3 linked regions of the Pelodiscus sinensis genome follow. The main gene of each other region encodes a partner of the protein of the gene in region 2 in a complex. Links are inferred from orthologs where the notes say so. Each region holds a gene or a part of one and is shown on either strand. Other genes may lie near its edges. The genes, in order: AP1M1, AP1G1 and AP1S1.

Region 1 (3,743 bases), on a different chromosome or scaffold from region 2:
TTCCTTCTCTCCCTTCTTCCTTTATTTATTCTTGTATCTGGACTTCCAATACTCCTGTCATTGGAAGAAGTGGGTTGTGCCCTTGAAAGCTCATGATACCATCTACATGTTTTGTTAGTCTTTAAGATGCTATTAGACCGTTTGTTTATTTTTTTCAAAGGGGGACAGTTAGTGGCATCCAAAAGGCCAAATAAGGAGCAGAAGTGACCAAAAGCAGAGATGTGTGTGTGGGGGCAGAGATGTGTGTGTGTGTGTGTGTGTGTGTGTGTGTGTGTGTGTGTGTGTGTGTGTGTGTGTGGAGGCTTTATTGGGGCCACCCTTAAGATTTATGGGATCCTTCACACTACCATTAAAGTGAGGCTCCTATACCCGATGGCAGCTGGGTGTATGATTTTTTAGAGAGGTCATTTTCTAATCTTCAGTAACACTAATGAAAGCTAATAATAGGTCTGGCCGGCTTTTTCCGTGTTAATTAGATGCTCTCTGGAGGAAGCAGAGCCCCAGGACGGGGAGAAGAAGAGGCAGGTGGGTGGACATGAAGGGCCATGGGGTGACCCCATTTTTGGGGTGTCTTATGCAACTGCATATTCTGCACAGGGGTGAGGTCAGTGCATGCCACAAGAGGATGGGGGGAAGGGGCAGAAAAACCTGCTTCTGCCCCTAGCCTCTAAGACTCCCACAGGCCTAGGAACCAGGCCCAGGTCTGCAGGGCCATGTCCCTCCTGGGAAGAAGCCAGGCGCCAGCCTGTTCCTCCAGCTCTCTATGGGCCGCTCAGGCTAGCGCGCCGCTTTGCGTCCCCCCGGCGACGGGGACCATAGAGAGCGCGGGCCAGAAGGGCGGGGGTGCATCCGCTCCCTCAGTCGCTTCCGCCGCAGGGCGTGTTTCCGCGGGAAGGCCCCGCCCCCTTCGCTGGTGTCCCTCCGCCCTGCCAGAGGCCTCTTCCGCCCCTGCAGCTGGCCTAGCCGGTGGAGAGCGGCAGCCGGAGCGGCCGCGTTTCCGGCCAGGAGCGGGGCCGCAGCGGCGCCGAGCAGCCGGGGCGCGATGTCCGCCAGCGCCGTGTACGTGCTGGACCTGAAGGGCAAGGTGCGGAGCCGGGGCGGCCTGGCCTGGGGTTCCCGCGCTGGGCTCGGGCCCCTCCGCATCCCTAGGGGCCCGGCGGGAGGGCTCAGGCTCTGACACCCCCATGCTCCCTCCCCACCTCGCTCGGTGCGTCCCCCTCCCCCGCCTGGGGTGGGGACCCCGGTTCCTCCAGCCTGCCCTGGGGCCTCAGGCGTGCCGGGAGCCTGCCGAGAATGCTGCCTTGCTTCAGCCGGAAGCTTTGGGCTAGACTTTGTGCTGCTGATCAGCTGCAGTGGTGCAGGAAGTGCTGGTTTTGGTAGCTGGCTCCCTTCCTCCTCCCGCTCTCCCTTCTGGGGCCTTTTATCCTCTTCCTTCGTGAATAAAAACTCATGCAAGTGAAGTGGGTTTGATTTTGGGGTAAGTGAAATGGAGATCACCACTGCTTGTGGAAACTGAAGCTACAGAGACACTTTAGCTAACTTTCCATATTTCATCGTATTCCATTTTGGGGTAATTAGATTTGGGGTAATTTCCTCCAGGGTAGATTGTCAGAGACCCTGGAGGTTTTTCGCCTTCCTGTGTAGCATGGAGCACAGATCAGAGCTGGAGGATTCTCTGCATCTTGGGGTCTTCAAAGTATTTGAAGGCTTCAATATCTGAGACATAGGTGAAAGGATTATTCTAAGAGGTGTGGGTGAGATTCTGTGGCCTGCACTGTGCAGGGGGTCAGACTAGATGATCATAATGGTCCCTTCTGACCTTAAAGTCTATGAGATTCTGCATATTTAAGTACATTCTGAGGTTTTGTTCTATCATCTAAGTATATTCTGTTCCCAACATTGATATTAGGGATGTGAACGGGTAACTGGTTACCAGGTAAGCATCACACTTAGGCTACGTCTAGACTACACCTCTCTGTCGACAGAGAGATGTAGATTACGCATGTCAAAATTGCTAATGAAGCAGGCATTTAAATCTCCCGTGCTTCATTAGCATAAATATGGCTGCTGCTTTTTTTTTTTTAAAACTGAGCTTTTTCCAAAAAAAGGCAGTCTAGACGTGGATCTGTTGAAAATAAACCCGTTTTCGACAGATCCTGTAAACCTCATTTTTTGAGGAATACAGGATCTGTTGAAAAAGGGTTTATTTTCGACAGACCCTCATCTAGACGGAGCTTTTTTGAAAAAACGGCAATTTCGAGGGGGGGGGGGCGGGAGCGGTGGCCATATTTATACTAATCAAGCGCGTGTGATATTTAAATCCCTGCTTCATTAGCAGTTTCGATGTGCGTAATCTACATCTCTCTGTCAACAGAGAGGTGTAGTCTAGGCGTAGCCTTAATGGGTGATACTCTACTGGGTAATGGTTAACCATTACCTGGAAGAGGTCCGCTGGCTATTCCAACTCTGTGGGGCTGAAAGGGGGACTGTTGGCTCCCAGCCCTTGTGGGATTGTGGAGTGTGAGTTAGACTGTGTGCCCCCATTTAATCATTTACTTGTTAACTTAATGTTTAACTGGTTAACTAATTAAACATGATGTTCCATCCCTAATTGATACATGCTATTTAATAGCTGCTGAATGGATTCTAAAAGCTATGCTTAAGTTGCGAATGAAAGATTTCAATGTACAGTTTGTCATTCAGTTAGTGAAGAATTTTGGGGTTCCACTGCCTAAAAGTACTTCCCATGTGTCAGATGATAACTTCAGCATTTGTTTTTAAAACCTATTCAGATTTCTGTTGCATGTCTATTGCAGGTCCTCATCTGCCGGAATTACCGTGGAGATGTGGATATGTCTGAGGTGGAGCACTTCATGCCAATTCTTATGGAAAAAGAGGAGGAGGGAACACTTTCTCCCATTCTAGCTCATGGAGGAGTACGTTTTATGTGGATTAAACACAACAATTTATATCGTATCCTTTAAAGTGTCAAACTGTTAGTATGGTGAAACTGATGAACATGGTGGATTTTCAGAATTTGTACTTGAATGGAAGTAATAGGATAACAGGCTTACTGCTAAGAATTTTATTGATCAAGATTTACAAAGATGCAAAAAATATATAAATAGGAGTTTTTTCATGACATACCTTATTCCAGTAACGTGTATAAAAGTGTTAAAGTGCCAATTTAATATAAGTATTTCCTGAATTTTTAGTCCTCTGCCCCCAGGAGTTAAACCATCAAAAATAACATAAACCCCAGAATTTTCAATATCAAATGACTCTGGAAAGAGGAATGTCATTGCTGCTTCCTTAATATTTGGGCCAGCTGTAATAATATAGTAAATGCGTTTTGAAAATGTATTTAATTATAAGCATTTTTTAAAAAGTGTAACTTTAAACTCCAATTCCTGAACATACTTTTTCAGTTGTTGCTACTTCTAAGAAGAATGCTTGTGTCTCTCTGGTGTTTTCATTTCTTTACAAGGTGGTTCAGGTGAGTATGGAAGTGATATTTGTTCATATAACTAAACATATGTTTTATGTAGATATGGAAATCTTTTAATTATGTAGTGCTGTGCAGAAATGGCATATTTGGATTATAGGTGGTTATATAAAGATCTTTCAGTGTTCGTTTCTGATGTTTATTTTGTGCTGTACAGGACAAGGATACTGACAATCTTATAATAAACAGGCACAGAAAATGATACAACATGAAAGCTAGATTCAAATATTGTGAGCTT
Region 2 (3,743 bases):
GGTTTCAAAGATAATTTTCCAAATCTGAACCATTTACGCACTCCTTTATAAGTCTGCAGACTGACAGCTCCAATCCTCCTGTTCTGCTCACAGCTTTGCCTAGCTAGGATGTAACAAGTGACCAGTCTCAGCAGTTTTCCTTTGCTGCTATTCAGAACCCTCTGAGCAACAATGAAGCTGACAAGAATCATATATAGTCCCTCTGTTGTTTGGCAAGTCTAAAGAGCAACAGCATGGGAAGTTATGACACCAAAACATGGAGGCAGCTAGGCAAGGGCTAGATTAGCAGAAACCCTATCCTTGGAACAGACAGGGGACTGTGTTGGAAGCAGAGGAATGTGAAAAAGAAAAGGATTATTGGGTGAAGTCTCAAATTCATCATAAGCCTACTAGTGGGAACTTGGAGTTCCTAAACATTCAGGAATCATGTCTTTCTAGTAATTTAAATACCTCCTCCCCTCCCAGCATATGGGAGAGAGAGAAAAGGGAGTGTGTTGTGGGGTGACAAGAGCAGGGTCTCCAATCTTATTTGAGCTCTCTTGCCAGCTCTTTGGTGTCTGATAAAGTTTTCATGATCCGTAGATGAGGGAATGGATCAGCAGAGAGTTTGGGTGAGGAAAATGAGAGAAAATCTGGCAACTGAGTGCGAAAAAAATTGAAGTGCAAACAGTAGCGCGTTCAGTGTAAATGAAGAGAGAAAGGGATGTAGCGGGAGGGGAAAAGAGAAAGAAAAGAGAAAACAGACAATTAAAACCAGAAAATATACACTATAATATAGTAATGAAAAGAGGGGAGAAAAATGGAGTGAAGCCAGAAAAGGAAAAAAGTTAATATACAAACAGGAGACAAAGTTATTATGTAAAAGTATGCTAAATAGAAGACTGACTTAAAATTCACTACAGTGAAAATGCACTACAGCATTGCTTGGTCTGGAGGGAACCAAGGTAGCGGAATTACTTTTCACACTGACTAATAAGCAAGCAGGTGTCAAGTATATTTTTCAAGCCCATTTGTCAAGCTCTGCTCAATACACCATCTCTCCTAAGGACATAGTGATAGAAATGTAGCCGTGTTAGTCTGGGGTAGTTGAAGCAAAATGCAGGACAATATAGCACTTTAAAGGACATAGTGCTTCTACAGCATTTCATCAAGCATGTCACACATCAAGTGCAGCAATAAACAACACCACAGCATTTAAAAATCAAAATGTATAAAGTGACAAAGTCTGATATTGGGAAAGACTTAAGCATTAATCCACACCCAAGAATCAGCACCCGAGCAACAACTAATGCCATATAATTTGAAAAAGAATTAAACAAACCCTTAAAGAAGCAGCAGCAAAAGTCTGCACCTGCAGCTTGCTGTAAATTGGTCTAGGCAGGACTGTGGCAGTCTGCTCTGCCAAGAGCTAGATAGATATAATTATGGGGCTATGCACAAACAAAACTCCTCGAGCAGTACAGCTGCAGAGTACTCCGTTCACCTTCGGAAACAGGAGGAGGAGTGCAGTGTTACCCTCTGTGCACAAGCATCACCCCAAAGGAACACACACGCGCTCTTCCCCAAGGGCTAGCACAGGAGAGCTGCCACCCCGGGGCCGCAGGGGCGAACGACCTGCCAGCGAAGAGCAGGGCCAGAGCAGCAGGCTCCACTCCAGGAGATCAAGAGAAGGGGCAGAGCAGCGGGACGGGGTGCGGGCAGTGCGGGGAGAGGGGCGGTGCGGCTGCCTGCAGGGAAGTTGAGGGGGCGCAGCGCGGACCCAGAGGCGCTGAGAGGGGCGAGGCGGGTGCTGTCGGCGGGGCGCTGGGGGGCGGAGGCGGCGCCCAGGGCCCCAGCGGGCCGGGGCCCTGCGCCCGGGGGGGGGGGGGGGGGGGCGTGCAGCCGAGCGGGGCGGGATACGGGCCCAGCCCGGGGGGGGGAGCCGAGCGGGGCGGGATACGGGCCCGGGGGGGGGGGCGGGATACGGGCCCAGCCCGGGGGGGGGAGCCGAGCGGGGCGGGATACGGGCCCGGGGGGGGGGGCGGGATACGGGCCCAGCCCGGGGGGGGGAGCCGAGCGGGGCGGGATACGGGCCCAGCCCGGGGGGGGGGAGCCGAGCGGGGCGGGATACGGGCCCAGCCCGGGGGGGGGGGAGCCGAGCGGGGCGGGATACGGGCCCAGCCCGGGGGGGGGGAGCCGAGCGGGGCGGGATACGGGCCCGGGGGGGGGGGGCGGGATACGGGCCCAGCCCGGGGGGGGGGGGGAGCCGAGCGGGGCGGGATACGGGCCCAGCCCGGGGGGGGGAGCCGAGCGGGGCGGGATACGGGCCCAGCCCGGGGGGGGGGGAGCCGAGCGGGGCGGGATACGGGCCCAGCCCGGGGGGGGGGGAGCCGAGCGGGGCGGGATACGGGCCCAGCCCGGGGGGGGGGGAGCCGAGCGGGGCGGGATACGGGCCCAGCCCGGGGGGGGGGGAGCCGAGCGGGGCGGGATACGGGCCCAGCCCGGGGGGGGGGGAGCCGAGCGGGGCGGGATACGGGCCCAGCCCGGGGGGGGGGCGGGATACGGGCCCAGCCCGGGGGGGGGGGGAGCCGAGCGGGGCCGCTGGGGGCCGGGGCCTGGGTCCCGCCGTGGGCGCTGCGGGGCCGCTTGGACCTTCCCGCCCCCGCCCCCACTCACCGGGCCGGGTCCCTGCAGCGGAGGAAGCGGCGGTAGCAGGAGCCAGGCATCCAAAATGGCGGCTCCGCGGCCTCAGCACCGATACCGCAGGCGTAGGGATCCGCAGGACGGGGACTGGCTCCTCGCCGTTCCCGGCCCCACCTCGTGAGGGAGGGCGCCCCGCCGGCACTGCGGTCCCAGCCGATCGCTCTCCCGGGCAGCGGGCCGCTCGCGGGCACCGGGACAGCGGCCGTTGGGAACTACTTTTCCAGGCGGAAGCAGCTGTGAAACTCCTGTTCGAGGAGCGCTGAGTCGGCGCCGTGGCAGGCAATGATGACGTCAGACACCTTCTCGTGCCCGCTCGGAGTGTTGCCGCGAGATGCGCCCGGGCCCGCCCGGCGCCGCGAAGGAAGGTTCCGGCCCTGGAATGAAAACGTCCACGCAGTGTGCAGCGGCGGTCAAAAAGGCAAATAGGATGCTAGGAATTATTAGGAAAGGGATAGAAAATAAGACCCAGAATATCTTACTGCCCCTGTATAAAACTATGGTACGCCCACATCTTGAATACAGTGTACAGATGTGGTCTCCTCACCTCAAAAAAGATATTTTGGCCTTGGAAAGGGTTCAGAAAAGGGCAACTAAAATGATTAGGGGTTTGGAACGGGTCCCATATGAAGAGAGGTTAAAGCGACTGGGACTTTTCAGTTTAGAAAAGAGGAGACTGAGGGGGGATATGATAGAGGTCTATAAAATCATGAGTGGTGTGGAGAGGGCTGATAAAGAAAATTTATTTATTAGTTCCCATAACATAAGGACTAGAGGACACCAAATGAAATTAATGGGTAGCAGGTTTAAAACTAATAACAGAAAGTTCTTCTTCACACAGCGTGTAGTCAACCTGTGGAACTCCTTGCCAGAGGAGGCTGTGAAGGCTAGGACTATAATAGAGTTTAAAGAGAAGCTAGATAATTTCATGGAGGTTAGGTCCATAAAAGGCTATTAGCCAGGGGATAAAATGGTGTCCTTGGCCTCTGTTTGTCAGAGGCTGGAGAGGGATGGCAGGAGACAAATCACTTGATCATTGTCTTCGGTCCACCCTCTCTGGGGCA
Region 3 (3,743 bases), on a different chromosome or scaffold from region 2:
GCTTCTTGGAGAGGGAGGAGGGCTCACCTTTTGTAGACCACCTTGAGGTCCCGCCACTCAAGGAAGCTGCACATCTTGGGCTTGCGGGCCAGCACCACCTGCATGAGCTCCCGCACCATCTTCTTCTTCTCCTTATCTGAGGTGGCCAGATACCACTTCTGCAGCCGCAGTTTCCCCTGCCGGCTGAATAGCAGCATGAACCGCATCTGCCATGGGAGGGACTGGCTCAGTGAAGGGTTTGAACCCATCCCTGGCCTGTGCCCCTACTTTCCCCACTGTGCCACAAGCAGCTGAACAGCCAGAGTCAGGGGCAGCAAGGGCCAGAGACTCGTAAGTGACAGCTGGTGCCACTGGAAGCCCCTAATCCAAGCAGAGGGGTGTGCCTGGGAGCAGAGCTCCCCATGGGGCCCATCCCCTAACCCCAAGCCACTCCTTCCCACCCAGGCTGCAGCACCAGCAGGGCATGGCCGTGGCATACGTGCCCAGACAGACACGGGCTGGGGCTACCCAGTATAACAGCAGTGAGCCCAGGTCTGGGATAGGTGGAGACAGGGAACACAGGGAATTTGGGTGAGGGGTAACTAGGAAGCTTGAGAGTGGGGCCTGGGAGTAAGGGCTCCTGGGCTCTGTCCCTTTCAGACCCTAGCACTGTCTGTCCCAAATGGGGGTGAGAGCCACTTTTGGGGGTCACCCTGATGGACCAGATGTCCCTTCCCCCCATGCAGTCAGATCCCATGGGATTCCCCAAACCAGGCTCACTGCCCCTGCAAGGTGTGAGCACCTACCCTGCCTACAGGTACATGGCCTGACCCCTGCTAATTACACTAATGACAACTGGCACAGCCTGAGCCCCAGAGGAGTTAACAAGGAGGCATGGAGCACAGCAGGCCTAGGATCCAGTGCCAGCATAGGGAGCTGGAAGAAGATGCCAGTGTTTGAGCTGGACCTGACCTGTCCTGGTCACCACTGTTAGTCATGCAACTCGCTGAAACAAACCTGCTAGGCCTGTTTTCTGGGGCAGGCTCCCCACCCCAGTGACCCTATGCAGCCCACTTCTCCAGATCACAATGGCTCCTGCTTTTAAATGGGCTCTGACCCTGAAACCCTGCCAATGAGTGCAAGCAACGCTTCTGCAGTACAGGTGCTGTCTACACTAAGGACTGCAACACTATAGCCCCATCGCAGCAGGTCAGCTATCCTGGCCGCTCACACACACACACACACCCTGAAATGGGCAATGCAGGTTCTAGCTCCACCTGGGGCTGCTCCGGAGTTTGACTCTCTTCCTCGTCACATCTGCACCATCACATGAGACTCATGCATCAACACAGCATCGCACATGCCACCCCAATGCCTGCCATGCAAAATGCACAGCTCCTGACACATGGCATTCAGGTCCAGTCTACCCCAAGGGCTGCCACAGGGCATAAAACCATCTCCCAGTAGAATCACAAGCTGCCTTCACACACAGTAGCTCAGGTACTGGCATTCCCCTGCATGCACTACACCAGGCCTGGGGGTGCATGGGCCTCATCATATGCTGGGGCAGGAGCAGCCTTGTCCCTCATGGTTACAAACATGGATGTCAGGTGCAGCCCCTAGTGCGTTGCCTCAACTCAGGGGTTCAGTCGCACTCACCAGCCTGCCTCTGGCGTGCGGATGCTGTCCACACTAGGAGTGGCAACAGTGAGAAGCCTTGTCCCAGATAGGAGCCATCTAGTGGCTGTGTCAAGACCAAGGGCAGGGGGGCAGCTGTTCAAAAGGCAGCGTGTTTGGCAGATACACCCCAACCCCCACTTGTGGGAATGGGACTGAGCTGCACAAACAGCCCCTGGCAACCGCCCCATCACCAGCTCGCTGCCACGGGCGCTGTGCCCCAGCGGCTCCCCCGGCCCAGACCCCCCACTTGGGCTGCAGCCCAGCCCCGTCTCGGGGGACCCCAGCCCAGCCCCCCTTGGGTTCCAGCCCAGCTCCCCCCGGTGCCCCCTCACCATGGCGCCGCCTCCCGGCCCCTGGGCCGCGCTCAACCTGGCCAGGTACGGAGCCGGGCCCGGCCTCCCCGCGCTACGCATGCGCCAGTGCGGGACAGGCGCTACTTCCGGGAGGGGCGGTGGAGGCGTTCCTATGGCAATGGGGGCAGGAGGAAGAGGGCGGGGCCGTTTCCGTGGCAACGGGGGCAAGAAGGAGGCGGCGGGGAGCTGGTGCTATGGCAACGGGGGCAAGAGTGAGTGGGAGGGGAGCCGCTCCCATAGCAAGGGTGGGCGGGTGCTGTGTCATGGGAACGGGGGAATGTATCCATGGCAACAGACCAAAAGGGAGGGGCGGGGGCAGGAAGGGTCGGGGCTCTGCAGTGAGGCAGGCGGAGTGAGCGGGGCCCCAGGGGAGGGGCTGAATCTGGGGGGCTTGAGGGAGTGGATAGGGCTCGGTCAGGAGGGGAGGGCTGGGGGCCATGGATGAGGAAGGGGACTCGGGGGAGGGAGCATGGCTGAGTGGAGAGGGAAACACAGAGCAGTGTGAGTTTAATAAAACCAGCCAGGCCCAGCAAAGGGGCCCATGGGGCACAGAGCCCATCCCAAGGGCCTTAGCACATCCCTGGCACCTAGCTCGGTCCAGGGAGGGATCATGGCCCCCCTGTGGGGCTGGTGGTGCAGGGCCTGGAAGAGGTGTGCTCCTCTCTTACAGCCAGTGCTCACTCCACTGCTATGGGGCATGGCTGGCCCCAGAGCCTGCTCATCAGATCTTGCTACAGCCTCCTTCCCACAGGCTGGGCCCAGGGCTCAGGCTAGGGAACAGGCACAGCCACAAGGCAAGGACCACACCATGTTTCCATAGATATTTTATTAAAATATACATATGCACACCCACACACAAGCATGTTCCTTACAACTCACTGCTCCTGTTGGGCAATCCTGCTTCCATGCAGTAGGGATATAGGTCAGGCAAATCTATGGGGTCCCCCACATCCCTTGCCCAGCTTGCATAGGGAAAAGGCACACATTACTTTAAAGGCACTACTGCAATGGAGTCTGGGAGGTGGTAGTGGGCTATTTAGATTCCCACAGCACATACTATTCCTTTAATGCCAAAGGGGAAAATGCTAGGGTTGAGAAGGAAAAAAGAAGGGGGTGGAAGGGAATGATATACCTCAGCTGCCAGTCCCTTACCCAGCCACCATTGGATTATTTTTAGACATCCACTGATTTTTGGGGGGTGATGCGTACTGGCTGGTGAGAGCAACTAACCCCTGACCCTGATCTGCATGTGCAGCACTGCTGGGGACACGTGCCGATTGCTTCACCCAGCTTCCTGTACTGCCAGGGAGTGACGCAGGCAGAGAAGGCCCCCTGCAATAGGACTCTGTCTGGCTGCTAGAGAGCAGCTCTTGCAGGAAGTGGAGCATGCTCAGGGCTGGGTGGCTGACTGAGAGGCCCTCAGGGAGAGGTAACTGCATCTGTTTGTCCACACAAATCTTGGAGGAGGTGGTGATTAGTTTGTGCTTCCTATAGTGAACAAAGGTTATAGCAACATCTCTGGCCATACCTCAGCCATCCACCCTCTGGCCCAACATTCCTGCCCCTACCCCTCAAAAATGCAAACAAAGCTAGAAATATATTATATCCTCTACAATATATTACTCTTCCATACACTCATGCCCAGTCCAGGCCTCCCAGTACTCCTGAGAACAGGGTTCCTGATAACAAACCCCCCCCCCCCACCTCCAAGAGTGGGCGAGGTAGTAGCCT

The links.
Region 1: the proteins of AP1G1 (region 2) and AP1M1 are in contact, whole or in part, in a cryo-EM structure (PDB 7R4H), measured with the Mus musculus proteins. The link is inferred for Pelodiscus sinensis from reciprocal best matches to the Homo sapiens genes AP1G1 and AP1M1. Residues at the interface, in NP_001288140.1 of Mus musculus: Arg24, Glu25, Gln28, Lys29, Ala32, Arg35, Ser36, Arg39, Glu40, His64, Phe65, Gln67, Leu68, Gln97, Val99; in NP_031482.1 of Mus musculus: Ser289, Asn318, Asp319, Ala320, Asp321, Ser322, Trp334, Pro336, Glu337, Asn338, Ser339, Gly361, Leu362, Pro363, Ser364, Val365, Glu366, Ala367, Glu368.
Region 3: the proteins of AP1G1 (region 2) and AP1S1 are in contact, whole or in part, in a crystal structure (PDB 1W63), measured with the Mus musculus proteins. The link is inferred for Pelodiscus sinensis from reciprocal best matches to the Homo sapiens genes AP1G1 and AP1S1. Residues at the interface, in NP_001288140.1 of Mus musculus: Leu7, Arg8, Ile11, Arg12, Arg15, Leu54, Tyr55, His57, Met58, Gly60, Tyr61, Lys78, Phe79, Thr80, Arg83, Ile84, Leu87, Met90, Leu91, Asp94, Glu95, Thr115, Phe117, Leu123, Cys124, Gly127, Cys128, Tyr152, Lys155, Lys156; in NP_031483.1 of Mus musculus: Met1, Leu14, Arg15, Leu16, Gln17, Lys18, Trp19, Leu21, Ala22, Thr23, Asp25, Arg28, Lys29, Arg42, Lys45, Met46, Cys47, Ser48, Phe49, Glu51, Lys56, Gln74, Asp75, Asn76, Glu77, Leu78, Ile79, Leu81, Glu82, Leu83.

The regions. Positions count from the first base shown.
Region 1 is NC_134729.1:31,354,021-31,357,763, reverse strand, and holds the start of AP1M1 (AP-1 complex subunit mu-1), read left to right. Parts: upstream 1-898; 5' UTR 899-1,042; coding exon 1,043-1,084; intron 1,085-1,454; exon of another isoform or gene 1,455-1,477; intron 1,478-2,816; coding exon 2,817-2,973; intron 2,974-3,428; coding exon 3,429-3,496; intron 3,497-3,743. UniProt on the Homo sapiens protein: Subunit of clathrin-associated adaptor protein complex 1 that plays a role in protein sorting in the trans-Golgi network (TGN) and endosomes.
Region 2 is NW_027466015.1:561,299-565,041, forward strand, and holds the start of AP1G1 (AP-1 complex subunit gamma-1), read right to left. Parts: upstream 2,967-3,743; 5' UTR 2,656-2,966; intron 1-2,655. UniProt on the Homo sapiens protein: Subunit of clathrin-associated adaptor protein complex 1 that plays a role in protein sorting in the late-Golgi/trans-Golgi network (TGN) and/or endosomes.
Region 3 is NC_134734.1:7,729,711-7,733,453, forward strand, and holds the start of AP1S1 (AP-1 complex subunit sigma-1A), read right to left. Parts: upstream 2,151-3,743; 5' UTR 2,073-2,150; coding exon 1,992-2,072; intron 207-1,991; coding exon 28-206; intron 1-27. UniProt on the Homo sapiens protein: Subunit of clathrin-associated adaptor protein complex 1 that plays a role in protein sorting in the late-Golgi/trans-Golgi network (TGN) and/or endosomes.